Linked DNA regions of Lonchura striata. The protein of the gene in region 1 purifies or fractionates together with the protein of each later gene. This does not show direct contact. Links are inferred from orthologs where the notes say so. Each region holds a gene or a part of one and is shown on either strand. Other genes may lie near its edges.

Evidence for each region.
Region 2: the proteins of MCRIP2 (region 1) and ATXN2 purify together in Homo sapiens (co-immunoprecipitation; 3 studies listed by BioGRID and IntAct, with this or other methods). This does not show direct contact. The link is inferred for Lonchura striata from reciprocal best matches to the Homo sapiens genes MCRIP2 and ATXN2.

Annotation. Positions count from the first base shown.
Region 1 is NC_134618.1:2,610,831-2,619,093, forward strand, and holds the start of MCRIP2 (MAPK regulated corepressor interacting protein 2), read right to left. Parts: upstream 3,185-8,263; 5' UTR 3,106-3,184; coding exon 3,054-3,105; intron 2,975-3,053; coding exon 2,893-2,974; intron 1,291-2,892; coding exon 1,163-1,290; intron 961-1,162; coding exon 859-960; intron 53-858; coding exon 1-52. Other genes in the region: METTL26 (methyltransferase-like 26), read left to right, coding at 4,761-4,957, 6,093-6,255, 6,352-6,411, 6,824-6,891, 7,098-7,176, 7,243-7,290.
Region 2 is NC_134620.1:11,794,947-11,803,746, forward strand, and holds the start of ATXN2 (ataxin-2), read left to right. Parts: upstream 1-5,305; 5' UTR 5,306-5,335; coding exon 5,336-5,448; intron 5,449-8,800. UniProt on the Homo sapiens protein: Involved in EGFR trafficking, acting as negative regulator of endocytic EGFR internalization at the plasma membrane.

The DNA.
Region 1 (8,263 bases):
TTGGCCAGAAATTGCTGTGCCCACCACTCCTCCAGGTCGATGGGAACAAAGTCTGAAAAAGAAGGGAGGGAGAGAGGGGAATAGCTGGAGCAGGAGCAGAGCTCTGGGTGCCCTCTTCCAAACCCCAGAAAAAATGACCACAGAATCACAGAATTTCCTGAGCTGGAAGGGACACAGGGATCCTCCAGTCCAGCTCCTGGCCATGCACAGACACCCCAACAATCCCACCCTGGGCCTGACATCTTTGTCTAAACACTCCTGGAGCTCTGGCAGCCTTGGGGCTGTGCCCATTCCCTGGGGTGCTTGTTCAGTGCCCAGCACCCTCTGGGGGAAGAACCTTTCCCTGATATCCAATCTAATGACACCCCCAAGCCTCCTCCACCTCTGTGCCATGTCCCCAAAAGGCCAGACTGGGTGTACAGGAACATTCTCTTCCTTGGGGAGTTCTCAGCTGCTGCAAGAACCTGCAGGTTGCTGACTCCGGGTGCCACCAGACAAGTGTTGTCCCCATGCCCAATTGTTCCTGCTGGCCCCAGGAGAAGTGGGTTCCACAGGTGCCTCCTTTCTCTCCAGCATGATCCTGAGCCCCTTGGTGGCAGGAGAAGGCCTGAATGCCAGAGGAGTCAGCAACAGAGTGGAACATCCAAGGGACGCAGTGCAACATCCCCACCACAGTGCCTGGGGCCAGCTGTCTCCCCCCAGCACCCCCAGAGTGACCCAACCAGCCCCTCTGGCACGTCCAGCACTGGAATCCTCCTTGTCCTTCCACCACAGCTCTGTTCAGATGCAGACTGAGCCCACAGCCACTGCACCCCGAGCCTGATGCACCCCAAAGTGCCACAACCACTGCCCACTTACTTTTGAGTCCGGGGTTGGGGGTTTTCTCCACATACTGCACGGGGCCGCAGGCGCTCTCCCCGCTCCGGCTGCCGTCCAGCTGCTGCTCTACCTGCTGCCAGGCTGGAGAGGGGAACAAGCGCTGCATGGGTTTGGGATGGGGGTCCCCAGTGTGGGGGGCTGTGGGACAGGAGCAGGAGGTGGAGCAAAGGAGGGCAAGCCCCCAGGCCGGGGACTCCATGCCTGCCACCGATGTCCCCGGCATGGAGGGACTCCATCTGCTCCAGGTCCCCTGGGTGCTGCCCCAGGGACCCTCTGCCCTCACCTTCATAGACAAAGCGGACATTCTCCTCGTGGGCCAGGGTGTAGCATTCTTCAGGGGCTGAGATCTGCTGCAGCAGCAGGGGGGGCCTCTTGCCGTTCACTCTGTTGAAGACGAGTTTCTGCACTGGACTGTGGAGGAGGGAAGCAAAGGGGGATGAGGGCACAGGCAGCTCTGCGCACCCCAGCAAGAACTGGGGTGGTTCAGGTGTCCTGGGCTCCCCCACGGTGCACACACTCACCCACAGCTGTGGTCACCCAGCCTTGTCCTCAAGGACTGGGATGGAAAGGGACCCAGCCCCCAGGGGCAGGGGATTCTGACACAGGAGGGGTGCAAGGGGAGCTCCCTGGGGAAAAGCACCAGCTGCCCATCTCCCACCCATCCTGCAATCTAGCACCAAGTGCAGTCCCTAAGATAAAGAATCTGCCACTAAAATTGCAGGAACATGAGGAAATGGAAGTGAAATCCAGTCAGGTACTGGACAGAAGATGTGCCATCTTCTGCAGATCAAGCACTCAGGTTCACTGGAACAGCTCTGGCCCCAGCATGGGGCACACAAGGCGCCCCAGGACTGGGATGTTACATTCTGAAAAGTACGAGCAGGTCAGGCTTCCTCAGAGCTGGGATGCCCTCTGCTGAGGGGCACTTCAACCACTCCCTCCCTGGATGCAGCAACCCCCACCAGAGCTAAAGGAAAAACTTGGGATGAGACTTGGGAGCATGTTCAGTGCAAAACTCCAGTATTTTGGCTTTTCTGCTCAGCTCCAGGGCAGGACACGTCTGCAACAGCCACGTTCCTCATGGGACAAAGTCTAAGAGGCCCTAGGAGTGGGTTTGGAGGGCAGGAGAGACTGGGAGCAGGCAGCTCCTGCAGATCTGCAGGCAGGGGCTGGGGAGGGCAGTGACATTGTAGCCCCCACATCCAGGGGCACTGGGCAGACAGGAGGAGGGCAAGCATGGCAGAAGCCACTCCAGTGAATTCTAGAGATCCTGGAAAGCAGAGGGACTGGCGGGGGAGGCTCATCCATCCACTTCTTGGAGCTGGAGAGGAGGTGCAGAAACAGCGGGGTCCCACTATCCTGTCTGGGTGTGCTGTGACTCCAGCCCTCAAGTTTGGAAAGAGTCTCCTTAGGGGTCCCATCACCACCCCCCAGCCACTGGAATACCCCACAGCACCCAGCCAGCAGCTCCAGGTATTGCTGCGGGACACAAATTCACCCAGCAAGTGTCGCCCTTGCTTTTGGGGCAGAGGGGATCGCCAGCTCCGCGTGGGCTCCGCGGCCCCCGTGGGTGCGCGGCGCGGCCAAGCGGGCGGGCCCGGCGCTGGCCCCGCCGCCCGGTTTGTGCAATCGGGGCCGGCGGCGGGTGGGGGTTGCGCCAGCGGCCCCGCCTCTGCCCCGCACCGGGACCCCGCCGCGCCGCCTCCTTGGCGTGACCCCCTGGGCCCACTCCCCGAGATTTTTGGGTACGGCCCGTGGGAAGGAGGGGGACCGGCGCTCCGGTGTGTCCTGGACGCGGGGCTGCCCCGGCACGCGTGCACAGAGCTCCGCGGGACGCGTGCGGGCACAAGCAGCGCTGAGACCCCCGGGGCGAGCGGCACCGAGCGGAGAGCCCGCGTCCCCTCCCGCGTCCTGCCAGGCGGCCCAGCCGTCCCGTTCCCCTTCCCCTTCCCAAGGTCAAGCGGCGCGGCCGCCCCAGCGCCGGTCCCCGTCCCAAGGTCAAGCGGGGCTCACCTGGCGGGGGGCCACGGGCCGGGCTGCGGCCGGCCCCGCAGCTCGCCCAGTTTGCTGCTGTCCACCGCCTGCTGCGTGGGACCTGCGGGGAGCGCGGGGCGTCAGGGGGCGGCGAGGGTGGCAGCGAGCCCCCGCGGCCCCGGCCCCGCGCCCCCCGGTACCTGTGCGGCGCTGCGTGGCGAGCTTGCTGGGGCCGCGCGTCAGCGTGTACATCCTGCGGGCCCCGGCCCACGGCCCTGCCGCCCCTGCCCGAGTGCCTCAGGTGTCCCTCACCGGGCGTCAGCGGGCTTCGCCGAGCCAACCTCCGGGCACGCCCCCGCTTGAGTTAAAGGGAACGCGGGGGAAGCGGTGGGACGCGGCGACAGCGCGCGGCCGCTCGGGGCCGCGGGGGACACGCGCGGGACAGGCCGTGGGGACACGCGGGAGGCGTGCAGGGACACACGCGACATGTGTGCTGCGTAAGGGACGTGCCTGGGTTGTGGGGACACGTCGGGGACACATCGGGGGCGCGCGTGGGGATTAATGGGGACACGCAGGATGAAGGAACATGCACTGGAGACATAAGCAGGGCGCATATGGGGACTTCCATGGGACACAGAGGGGACATGTGGGACTCGCACAGGACGCACAGAATGCACACAAGGGACATTGGACCGTGCGGGGCTCAAGTAGGGGAAAGGGCACAAGCAGGCACGTGGGACACAAGATGGCACAGACGCGCAGAGGACACGGGAGTCACGGGAAACTCGGGGGGACCGGCACGGGGACATGCAGGAGACAGGACACTGGAGCCACGGCACACACAGGGGACAGACAGGTGTCATTCCTGGACCCCGGACAAAGGACCCAGGCAGGGAAAAGTGAAGGGGCGCAGAGGCAGGGGCTGAGGTGCCACCCCCACGGGGACAGCGCCGTGAATAGTCCCGAGCTGCACGTCCCATGACCAGCGCAGGGAGCCGGGGCGGGCAGCCGCGTCCCGGCCAGCGCCGTAACCTTTGGAGCGGGGACGTCCCGCCAAGGTGTCCGCACGTGGCAGGAGGTGCAGACCCAGGACACGACCCCGAGCTGGACCCCGGCCACCCCGCAGTGTCCACCGGCCGCCCCTGTGGCTGTCGACAGCACCCGGAGTTTTGGGGAGAGATCGTGTGATAAACACGAGGGTGACCTTCGCCTTTCCGCCACGTTGCCCCGGTAGCGGCCAGCGAGGGAGGCGTGTAAGAGGGTACCTCCCATAAAAGCCCAGCAGCGCCTGACCCTGGTGGGTGCCAGGCAGGAGCAGACCTTTTGGGGGTGTGCATCCACTGCTGTCACCCCCAGCCCTGTTATTGTGCCTAAAAACAACCCTGACCCATGGGATGTCACTACTGGCATGTAACGTGCTGGCGGCTGTGCCTCAGTTTCCCCGCAGACCTGCCCGGGGTTTCTAAGTGCCTGTTGGCGCACCCCTGACCTTTTCCACGCTTGGAAGGCCTGAACCCCTAATCCTTGTGCTCTAGGTGGATCCCTCCGGACCTCCATCACCGGTGACTGCTGTCGCGGGAAAGGGCGGGTGGGGGTCCCCCCTCGCCTCCGTTTTCCTGGGGTGCCCGCGCAAAGCCTCGCTTTGTCCCTTTCGGGGGTGCCGCTGCGTGGCGGCGGAGCGGCGGCGGCCGGGCCGGGGTCCCGCGGGGGCGGCAGCTCCGAGGGGCGGCGGGAGGCGGCGGCTGCCGGCCGCGCCGCTGGTGTAGTGGTATCATGCAAGATTCCCATTCTTGCGACCCGGGTTCGATTCCCGGGCGGCGCAGTTTTCTTTCTCCTTCCCCTGCCGTGGGGGCTCCGCCCGCGGCGCGGGGCGGGCCGGGAGCTGTAGTTCCGCCGCCGGCCCGGCCATGCAGGTCCCGGCGGCCGCGGAGCGCAACAAGGGCCCGATCCTGGCGGTGCTGCGGGAGTGCGCGGGGAGCGGCGCGGGCGCGCTGCGGGTGCTGGAGGTGGGCGCGGGCGCGGGGCTCCACGCCGCGCACTTCGCCCGGGCGCTGCCGCAGGCGCGCTGGCAGCCCTCGGACATCGACCCCGGGGCGCTGCGCAGGTGAGCGGGGCCGGGGGTCCCGGGGGGACGGGGACCCCGGGGGCTCCACCGGCACCCCTTCCCACGGACCATGGACCCGCGGCCCCCGCTCTCTGCTCCCCATTTTATTTATTTATTTATTTATTTATTTCGGGGATTTTGGGAAAACACCAGCGTCCGACTCTCCTGCAGCCCGGGCTCTCCTGCTTAGTGCTTTGTTCCCTCCAGGAGAACCCCGATATTCAGCTCTTGGATGAACTGGATGCATATTTTTTCCCAGTAAAGGCCTACTCAGCAGTGGGCCCAGGCTCCACGATTCTTTTATTTTTTCAGGAAAAACCCAATAATCGACTCTCCAGCAGCCCAGGCTCCCCCACTTGCTGCTGTATTCTTTCCAGGAAAACCCCAATATCCTGCTCTCAGATGAGCTTAATGTTTATTTTTTCCCAGCAAATACCCCCTTGGACAGTCCAGACTCTCTGGCTTGATGCTTTATTTTTTTCCAGGCAGACCACAATATTCAAGTCCTGCCCAGCCCAGGCTCCCCAGGTCAATACTCACTATATTTTCTTCAATAAATCCCCAATAGCCAACTCCCAAACAACTCATGCTTCCCAGCTCCCCAGCTTTATTTTTCCCAGAAAACTCCCAAAATTCAGTTTTCCACCGCAGAAAAATAATTAGCCTGGTGGGGAGGTGCTGGTACCAGCTCCTGTCCAGGAGGAGTTTGGTGCTGCCCACCCAGCAGCACCCACCACCCTGGGTAAAAATAATCTCCAGGCTGGGAGGCTGCAGGAGCTGAGACCTAGGTGGTGAATGTGCCAAAAAGGACATAAATAACAGCAAAATCAGGAGGTGCTGGTGCAGTGGTGCCCGTGGGGTGCCCCACAAGGGGACGGTGCTCCAAAACTGGGGAGGTTTGGCCCTGGGGCCTCTGTGTCCACATGCTGCTGGTTATCCAGGCACTCCCAGTTCTCCATCTGGCAGCTGCAAGCAAAGGGCTGGGCAAGGAGCCCCAGGCTGTGCTGCACCCACGTCCCTTTGTGGGTGTTCCTCCACTTCTGAGAGCCCACGCAGGGCTTTGTCCCTGCCTGCAGCACCTGCTGGGGGGCACGGGGCACCCGGCTGGGCCTGAGGCGGGGTTTGGTGCCCACAGCATCGCTGCCTACGTGGAGGCTGCAGGGCTGCCCAACCTGCTGCCCCCCATCCTGCTGGACGTGTCCCAGGGCTGGGAGACCTGGGGGGGCACCCAGCCCGCCTCCCTCGACCTCATCGTGAGCATCAACATGATGCACATCGCAGAGCTGCGGTGCACCGAGGTGAGCAGCCCTGACAGCCCCTTCCCCTGCCAGGCCGAGGGGGCTCCCAGGGCGTTCCCCAGCCCCCTGACCTGGTCCCCGCCTCTCGTTCCCCAGGGCCTGTTCAAGGGTGCTGGGGTGCTGCTGAAGCCTGGAGGTGTGCTCTTCACCTATGGGGTGGGTCACCTGTCCTGGTGCAGGAGCATCCTGGGGGTGCAGGATGCCAGAGTGGATACTGGGGGGGCAGGTGGGAGGGCAGCTGCAGTCACGGCTTAGGGGGAGAGCTGGAAAATGCAGGGGCTTGGCTTCTGGGGGTCTCTGCCTTTTTGGGCACATTCTGAGAACTGAAAAGAGCAGTTTTGGGGGAGACAGATCTTGTCCTCCCTCACCTCATCCAAAGCAGGGTCTGGGGGTGCCTGCAGTGGGTGACGGGACTCACAGTGCGTGGCGGGACTCCCTGGGGGCTCTGTCTCTTCCCGCTTGGCTTCTGTGCTTGGTGGGGACACAGCAGTGTCCGTGGAACCGGAGCTGGGGTGGAGGAGGAGGCACAGGGTGGCTCCTGCCTGCAGCTCCAGCTGTGTCCCACCAGCCCTATGCCGTGGACGGCCGGATCAGCCCCCAGAGCAACGTGGACTTCGACCACAGCCTGAGGCAGAGGTAGGAGGGGGCTGGGGAGCTCAGGCTCCTGGGAGCCCATCCCGTCCTCTCTGTCCCCCCCTGCAGCCGCAGGAAGCTCCCTCCCAGCGTGGTCCTTCAAGATAAGCCACGCCTGAGGGCAGCCCCCCAGCCGGGGGTGCCCCTGGTTGATGGGGCTGGTTTGGGGCGGGGTGTCCCCGGGGTGACCCGCGCCTCCCTCCCCGCAGGAATCCCGCCTGGGGGCTGCGGGACACGGCGCTGCTGCAGGAGCTGGCTGAGGCCAACGGGCTGTGCCTGGAGAGGATGGTAGGTGATGGGCGCTGGGGGGCTGCCCGTGCGGTGTGCACCCCCGAGCCCGCTCTGTGCTTCCAGGTGGACATGCCGGCCAACAACAAGAGCCTGATCTTCCGCAAGCTGTGACCTGCCCTGGCGGCGCTTCCAGCGCCTCCCAGCGCTGCTGTCCCCACTGAAGCCTCCTGCGGTGTCGCTGTCCCACCATGGCTGCCACTGGGGCTGGGGACAGCAGTGATGGGACGGAGCCCCACTCACCCCAGCTGGGGCTGACTTGGCTGGAGGGGGGGTCCATCTCCCCTAGTGCCCTTGGAGCTCCCTTTGCAGTGGGGTGCCCCAGCCTGGACCACAAGAGCCAGCACAGCTGCTGTGGGGGACACAGGTGTGTGTGGGGTGGGGGCACACAACACCCGTGGGCATGGGGGAGACTCCTTGCTCCATTTCCTTGGAGGATCTTGTGCTGGTGGTGTTCCCCCTGCCCCCCTCCCCAGGATTGTGCTGCTGCCTCCGCAATAAACTCTGTGGCTTTGCCCCCCATGCCCCAGTAGCTCCCTGATGTTTTCAGCACAAACACTGGGGTTGGGTGTCCCCAGTTCCACCTCCAGCACCAATGAAAGGGCCAGGTCCAGCACCCTGGGGTGTTACACTGGGCCCAGAGGCTTTGGTGAAGTGGGAAGATTTTATGAGTGGGGTGGTCCCAGCAGATCTCCCACCCCTCTGCAACCCAACTCAGTTCTCGATTGCTGCTGGACAGTAATTGGGGGGGGGGGGTCACACAGTGGGGGGAACATGCGGCAGATAAATTACAGTGGAGGTGGGAGCTGGTCTGGGGCTCAGCATGGGGTTGGGGGAACTACATGACAGTGGTAACCTCTAGACACAGGCGCTGGTGCAGGGGCTCCCTCGGGCTGCCCCCTCCGTGCTGGGTCTGCAGCTCCCCCCCAGTCAGCACATCCTCACTCTCCCCTAGTCCTGGAAGCGGTTCAGGAGGTCGCAGGTTTTCTTCTCCATCAGCTCATAGATCTTCTTCACCCGTTTGTCGTTGGCCGCCCGGACGTAGCTGCTGGGGTCCAGCGTGGCCATTCCATCGTGCACCTCGCCC
Region 2 (8,800 bases), on another chromosome or scaffold:
AGAGGAGATCCCACCCTGGACATCACCAAGGATTTCTAGCACTGCAGTGCTAAGTACTGCAGTTAATTCCACTGTACAGTTAAATTTCAGTGTCTATTCTCACACATTCAGCACTGTTGGAGTCCAAATAAAAATACCTGACTGTTCCCTTCAAACCCTTCCCTGCAGAGATGCTGGGGATGTGCTGCCAGCACTGCAGTAGAAAGCTCCTCTGGTTTTCACAAGGGACACTTCCAAAAGGCCCTTGGCCCCCAGGATGGGCTGAGGGTGAGTATGGGATCCATTCAACCCTTTTTCCATTCTTCAATAAAAAATGTGGCCAAGGAAGAAGACATTGCTCCCTGAGCCATGTGGTTGCTGGAAGTGCTTGGCCCTGCTCACAGAAACTGCCTGGGCTTTCCCATCTCCATGGATGGAGCCTCACTTGATGCCCATGTCCAGGACTGGCGGGTTCCACCTAAAGCCAAAATCCCAGATCTGAGCCCCACGTGAGACATCCCAAAGGAGGGGAAAGTTTCACATCCCACTTCCAATTTGCCTGATGATTTTAGCACAGTGAACAGGGGAAAGAGCACCAGAGGTAACAAATTCAACCCTTTCCAAACACAGTCATGTGGTTGTCATCTGCCAAAAACATAAACCACAATCATAATCCTAAATTTGTCCTTTGAACATACCTGTGCCTGCTCTGTAGTAGTTTCCTTCTAATCCTCAGGGATTAATCCTGAAGCACATTGAAACATCTGAGGTGAAGGGCTACTGTGGAAATTCCTTGCAGGCTGGTAATAACAACTGAAAGCTGCTCTGCGAAGCAAACCTGAGGCTGACTTGGTTTTTAATGGACATCTGTCTGTAGGGGGAAAAAATGCCATGGCAACTGCCTTTCTTGTTGGCACGGCAGCCTCAGCGAAGGGCTGGGGAGAGGATGGGTATGGGAGGGTCTGTGTGGCTGTGCTGGGAAACCTGGAGGTACAGCTCGGCCAGGCTGGGAGGCAAAGGTTGTTTATGCTCTGTGAGCACCAGATCTTGAGGGATTTAACAGCTAAATCTTGGCATAACGATTGCTTTGTGTGCTGCTGCTGCTGCTGCTGCTTAGCAGGAGCCAGGCTGGGTTCCCCCCTCCTCTTTCTAAAAATGTGAAATCTAAAGGCAAAAAAGCACCTGGCTGGTGATTTCCTGGTGCTTTGCTGGGCAGGGTTGCTGTCTCCCAGTTTGCAGCTCTGTCCCAAGAATCGCTGCAGAGCCACGGCATCATCAGATGGATCCTGGAGCTTTGCTGGCTGAGGAAAGAAATGCCCTTGTTGTGTCCAAGGGCTGTGGAAATTGAGAACAAGGGTCATTCAAGGGTTGATAATGGGTGCACAAGCTCTGACACTTCTGTGCCTCCCTCCAGAGCTCCGTGGACATCAGCATTTCCCTTCATCTCCTGCTGGTTGCAGGAGAAGCAGCTGGATGCATGGCCCAGCAGGGACATCCATCAGCCATGCCCTGGCTGCACGGCTGAGGATTGGGAAGAAATGGCAACAAAACTGCAAGTGCAGATCAAAAACTGAATCTGATGGGAGCTGGTCTCCGCTCAGAGCTGAGCTGGGAATTTGGGAGCTGGAAGCAATGGGAAGATCAGGGTAAGGGGGGAAGGCAGAGGTGGCAGCAGCTGCTCCACGTGGCTGGTTTGGAATTTGGGGTTTGGTTTTGCTGTGGTACCAATCCTGGTCTGGCCAGGGGTGTGTCCTCAGTCAGAACTGAGGGCAGCTTTGGTGACGGGCTACATCGTATCTCTCTGGGAAGCTCTGCCGTGTGTCAGCACCTGATTTGTTCTCTTAATATCCTTCCAAGTGTTTGGAGATCCCTGTGCTCACAGCACTGTCCACAAAGCTTTACCCTCCGAGAGGAGGGGTGGGGATAATGGCACCGAAGAACTGAAATCTTCAGGGAAAACACGTGTGTGACAAAGCTCAGCTCTCTGAGCTTCTCCAGCAGCTGATTTTGCTTAAAGCAAACCCCTGTGCCTGTGCTGCTGTCCCCGTGTACCCAGGCGTGTTTTGTCTTGCTGGATGCTGTTGAGGATCACCCTGGGTAGCTCAGGGAAGGGAGCACAAGACGAACAGCAGGTTAGATCAAGGAAATGTTACATCACACGGCACTTCCTGCTAAGTGCTGCTATTATCAGCCTCATTCATCTCCACATGCAAATACAGCCTGCACACGTCGTCACACATCTGGAGGGAAATAGCAGTCCTGGAAAGGAGCAGCTCTGACCTGGATCGTGGACAGGAGAGGCAAAAGGGAGCATGATTCTCCACTAGGAATTGTTTCCTTGCTTTCTTGATTGAATCCTGAATTTTTCTCCAGCTAAACCACCACATCCACTGTTCACTGCTTTTTGTCACATCAATGACATCCAAAATGTCAGCTATAAATGGTGGGGAAGAGCAAAAAAAAAAAAAAAAAAAGGGTGAGAAATTGATAAAACCAAGCCATAAAATAATAACTTGGGAATGGTGGGCTATCAAGAAAAGCATATTCAGGAAGAGGTAAAGGCAATGATGTGCCCTAACAACAGTAGAATCCCATTATACTGGGAATTTGGGGAGGAGGAGGTGTCCCTGGAGAAGGTGGCTGCCACTGGAAACCACCCTGTAGCTTCTCTGGTGGTAATTGCTGAGCTATATTAAATGATCACTTCTATATTTACTTTTAACCTGCTTTTTTATAAAGATGCTCAACAAAGAAAAAAGGGAGGGCACAACGAAAGCCAAACGGAGCTTAAGAAAACAAAGAATACATTGAAGGGGAAAACAAGTCAAACTGCAACTGCTCTTGAGTCATTACTGAGGATGTGAATGCCAGCCCATTCATACCCTGCTTTCTGAGCACGTAATGTCACCCTAAAATGTACTTTGGTGTGCTCATGTAATGTCTTAGAAACTGTCTCTGCCTGTGGAACTTGGTTCAGGTATTTTTTGACATTTCTGGCTATCAAGGGCTCCATCTTTGCCCCACAGCCCCTTCAAACTGCTGCAGGTGCTTTTGTGGTCCTTAATCTTCAGCCACAGAAATAGTCACTAAGTGCTGTGAGCTGTGAACATTCCAGGCTGGAGAAGTATTGAAGTGATATCTTCTAAAAACCCCACGTTGAGTGACCTGGATGAGTTCTACTCACTCTCTTATCAGACTTCCTTGTGCTTTTTATTAACAACTTCCTTTTCAAAGTTGCTCAAGGTTCATGACTAATCCAAAGCTGTAGAACTTAAAAAGAGCAGCCTAAAGAGATTGGTTCACAGATTTGTGGAATATCCTGAGTTGGAAGGGACCCATAAGGATCATCCAGTCCAATCCTGGCCCTGCACAGACCCCTCAACATCTTCATAGCCTCTTTTGGGCCCTATATATTTCTTAGATTTTTATATACATCTATATACTACTACAACTATTATTATTATCATTAGCGTTGTTATTATTACTACTACTATATTGTTATATATTGTCTTATATTGCTTTTTCATGCTAGTGTGTTTTACACAAATATATATAAAGGATTTTTCTTAGCAGCTTTAGGAATTTATTTATCCTATCACATACAGTGAACCAGATTCCTGCTCTTACAGTGAATGCTCCCAAAATTGGTGCCAGTGGTAACCTTTGGCTGTGCAGGTGCTGACATCTTCCACAGAAACTCTTTGGCTCCAGAAACCCTCAGTGTCCTTCTCACTCAGTTCTGTGGCTGTGAAATAGTGAAGCATCTTGTGAGTTCACTAAAAGGATTAAAAAATGAAATTTCTTTAAATCACCATCTCTGTTAAGAGTATTTTCTATGGGAAAACTCAATGCTGAGCCCATCGGTGTAGGATCTGTCATCTAGCCTAGAAAGTGCTAACCACAAGGTTACTTGAGCCTGTGAGGTAAAACAAAGCAATCAGTTTAAAAGGTAAAATGTAAGGAAAATGCTAATTTAAGAAAGCTGTTCAATATTTTATCTTTTTACCATTGTGTGCTGCCACCCACAACTCTTCCAAGCGCATGGGAAAGCTGTTGCTTTAGGAGCAAGGTGTATAAATAATGCCTGCCTAAGAGCACTGCTCCTTTTTATTCCTTTGGAATCCTGTGGGATTTCTAGAGCATTTCTATGAATAGATTAAACTCTGAGCATTTCGAGTAACCATGGCTATAAATCAATTTAGCTCTTGGTTTTCAAGTTGCATCTGCTCTTACTAATCCTGTATGTGCATTTATTTTATTTATTTATTTTTTTAATAGGCCAGACCAGGCTTTATTTTTGTGTATGGGTTTTGGTTTTGGTGAAATTCCCACTCTGCACCAAGCAGGTTCACAACCACAGCACCCTGGATTTCTGCAGGGAGCCTGCCGATGGTGGGCAGGTAACACGGAGTGAGGGGAGAACTGGCATCTTGAGCGTAAAGATTTCACCCATCGGCGCAATGCAAATTTAAATTTCATTACTAGGAGGGGAAGCCGTGACTGCTCCGAAATGTGTAAGATGGAGGGGCACTGCAGGGAAAGCAGCCATCCTCCGGCCCCATCTTGCTTTCCCCCAGGAGCAGGGATGTGTTTGGCAGCTCTCTGCGGATCAGGGCCTGCCCTCCTCCCCCGGCCTTCCGCAGCCGCCCGGGGCTCGGCCATTTTTCCTCCATTTCGTCGTCTCTGGACGCTTGGTTTCTTTTGAACGATGCGCTGCGGGCCGAGCCCGCCGCTCGCTGGGGCCCGGGGAGGGGCGAGCGCGGCCGGGCCGCACCAGGCCGCGGCCTGCGGGCCCGCGGCGCGGGGACCGCCGCACACCGTGGGCCGTGCGGGGCCGGCCCGCCGGTGTCACCGGAGGGGTTTGAGCCGGCTCGGGGACTCCCCCGACCCCGCCGGGGCCTCACGGCCGGGCCGGGCGGGCGCCGCCGCCGTCCCGCGCCGCCGCCGCCTCACGTGTCCCCCCCTCCCTCCCCGCCCCTTCACCCGCCGCAGCACCGCCGCCGCGCCCTCCGACTTCCCGTAAAGAGTCCGCGCCGCCGCCCGCCCCGCGCCCGCCGCCGCAGCCCCGCCGCCCCTCGCCGGCCCCGCGGGGGTGCCCCGAGCCCGCGGCTGTGGCCGCCGCGCCCCCCGGCCCCGCCGCCGCCCTCAGCCCGCGGCGCGGCCCGGCCGCCGCCCGCCCCCCCCCCCCCGCCCTCCGCGGATCCCTCCGCGCCGCGCTCCGCTCCCTCCGCCCCGCTCGCACTGTTTGGGAGCAACCGGCCGAGCCAGCGGCGCCCCGGCCCCGCCAGCGCAGCGCGGACCGGCCGAGCGCACCCAGCCCGGCGCGACTCCCGGCGCTCTCCCTTCCCTCCTCGCCATGTCCCTCAAGCAAGCGGCGGCGGCGGCGCAGCCCGCCGGCAACAACCGCAAGCCCCCCGGCGGCGGCGGCCCCGGCCTCCCGTCAGCCGCGGGGAGGCAGAACATGGGCAGGTGGGTGCGCAGTGCCACGGGACCGGCCCCGGGCCCGGCGCGGGCGCCGCTCGCCCGCCCCCGCCGCCCCCTTCCCCCCCGCCCTCGCCCCGCACCGGCCTCCATGGGCGGCGGCGGCCGGCAGGGAGGGGGGGCGCGGGGCCCGCAGCATGGCGGGGCCGGGGCGGGGGCCGCGATGGCGGCGGGCGCGGCGCTCGCGGCCCCGCCGAGGGGGTTCCGCAGTGCCGGGGCGAGGCCGGGCCGCGGCCGGTGCCCTTCAGGCGCGGGGAGGGCACGGCGCCGAGGCTCCATTTCGGCCCCCCGCGGGGGCCCGGGGCGGGGGGCGCCGCTTCCCCCGGGCCGACGTGACCCGCCTGCTGAGGAGGGAGCGGGGGGAGCGGGGGGCGCGGGCCGCACGTGTCGGGGCCGGCGCGGGAAGGGCCGCGAGCGATGGCGGCGGGGCCGGGGGGCGGCCCGGGCGGGGAAGGGGGCGGCGATCCGGCCCCGCGATGGCGGCGCAGCGCCCTCGGCTCACCCGGGGAGAAGGGGGATATTAAAATAATTGTGTTTTTAAAATTTATTTTAATATCTGGGGATCGCTATTATTTGTAAAATTTTTTTAGCTTTTTTTTTTTTGTTTTATTTATTTATTTATTTTTTTTAAATAATGGAAATCACAATAAAATTCTCGCGGGAAGGCGGGCCTCGCCGCGCCGCTGGATGGTGGCTCCGAGCGCGGCCTCGCTTTCTCCCAGATTTTTGGGGCAGGAATCTTGCAGAGGCTGAGCCCGCTCCTCGCCTCCCCCCCACGCTCGCTGCCTCTGAGAGATTGATCCTGCTCCTGCTCTCAGATCATTAGCTACGCAAATCCACTCACATTTCCCCCCTTTCTTTCCCCTCAAATAATAAACTCCATAGTGCTGTGAATTTTTCCCGGGCTGCGGGGGTCATAACAAACGATCAGAGCAGGACGTTAACAGTTCTGAAGGTCACAGTCGCTCAGAGCAGTTTCATTTCGAGTTTTATTCATCTTCCTCTTCACAACTGGACGTTTAATCCCACTCGGTTTTGTGGCACTGGCAATAAAACAGAATTTACAGTGGCCCCATTGTTGGACATCACTGGAAATAGGGTTTTACTTTGTTCCCAGCCAGTGGAACTGGAAGCGGAAGAGCTTTGGAAGGGTTGAAAAGGACAAAATAAATAACAACAACAATACCTCAGCAGCTCACAGCACCGATTTAATAGTTTTTACATATGGCATTAGGTGGGACATGATGTTTACTGGGCTCTGTCCCTGCCAACACACAGTGGCACTGTAGAGGTTAACGTGAAGGGCAACAAAACCTCCAGCTTATTTTTTTAAATTCAGCCTGATGGCAAGCACTTACCCCCTTAGATTTGGACATGAGATCTTTGAATTCTCTCCCAAGTTTATGATTAAAGCCACTAGATTTCTCCTCCCAGTGTTGCCTTTCTGGTTCTATTGGATAAATTCCACTTCAGAACTCCCTAAGGAGTTCTGATGGGCCTGCTGAACAGCTGATGTGTTCCCTCAGAAGGGTTCATGCTCTTTGTTTCTTAATTTTTCAAGTTATTTCTGAATGGAGGGTCTGTAAAATCACAGTCCCAGGCCTGCTGGAGCCCCATGGAACACCTTCAGAGGACTTCCCCTGTAGCTGTCCTTGGACTTCTGGGGAGTGCAAATTCAGATATGGTTCATTCTGTAAATCTGGCCACGTGAATGAAAATTTAGGTGTCCTGCATCTTGGTATCAATTTGATGCATTGTATTCTTTAATAAAAACTTGAACATCTCCAGTGTATGTCAAGCTTTCTGCCCAGCAGCTCATTTCCCTGCAGCACCAACATTCCGTGCAGAAAAAAAAAATAAAAAAAATACTACTTTTCATGGCTAAGTTGCTCTTGAAAGCTTAGTTTGGGCAGAAAAGTCATTGATAATTAACTGTCCTGGGCCTCATTTTCTGCTGTGGGTTTGTTACTGGAAGAATTGGGCTGAGCACTTGTCCTCCTACCTCTGATCACGAGGGAAGGGTCAGCTCTGCTCGCTGCCTTGTCTCCATGGGTTCATACTGCTGCACATCTGTATTTCAGATTAGAAAAGGTAAAATCCCATGTGAACAAGCAGTGGTTTTTTTTACTGTCCTATTAATTGCTTTTGGACAAAGGGAAAAATCAGAAATGAAGGCATCCTTGAAGGTGTGTGAGATAAAAAAGAGGCCCCAAGTGGAGTGCTGTGTTTGTTTAATGTGCACTATGGCAGATGGGCTTGGGCTGCAGGGGAGATGCCAATAGCACAGCAAGCTGTAATTAGGGAGAATGTAGACTTGGTTCACAAACTTGCTCCCTGTGCTATCAGAACATTATCTAACATCTACTTTCTGTGTTTGAGCGGAGTTTTGCTGTTATGCAAGCACAGGAGGGTTAGCTGTCCTCTGGCTGCAAGTTGCATCTATCACAGCCCTCCTCCATCTCCGTCCTCTTTTTGTTCCTTTTTTCCCTATTGTTATTTTATCTGAAGATAAAACACCTCACGGTCAGGGTTTGGATGTTTCTTGTCTTGTTACAATTGTGGCAGAAGGGATTTTTCATTTTGGTAACTTGCTTGCCTAACTGGGCTTGGGGGATCCTGTAAGAATACACAGAGTTTCTGTCCTTTAAAAAAAATGTATTTTTCCCATCAAAAAGCTAAAACTGAAACCACCTCATGGTAAAAAAAAAAAAGAAAAGAAGACACAAACTTCTTGCCTCCGTTTCTTTTTCTTTTTCCTTGACATCCCTTTCTTGAGAGCATGGTGACTATCCTGTTCAGAGGGAAGGGAAGGGGAATGTTGAATGCCAAGGTGCTGGAATTTAAGGGCAGTGACTGTTCTGAAGGTCTGCTCACACGTGCCAGTCAGAGGTTTTTGAGTTGCTTCTGACATCTTTGTGTGGGTTTTAGTGCTAAACAGCTGAGCAGAATGACTGCTTAACCTGCAGGCCTCTTTCCTTATCACTGTGAGTGCACTTTAGGGTGGTGTTATATCCCTGGTTTTGAGTAACTTTTAATTTAACAACTGATTCATGGCCATGTCTGTGAAGGTTCTTCCATGACTAAGCCCATCAACAGGTTCCAGGTGTGCACTGGGCCAGACCTGAGTCAGGTTGTTACATATTCACATGGTGTAAAAGCTGTCACCCTGTGTGGAGATGGGAATTGACACTATTGATGTCAGCATTGGGGGGAAAAACTACAGAAAATAAAGCTGCAGGACTTCTTGCATAATCTTCATTTGACATCTTCAATTCATTTGACTTTATAGAGCCAAACACTGCACTGAAATAAAACCTTGCACTTCAGATTTCTCCCTTAG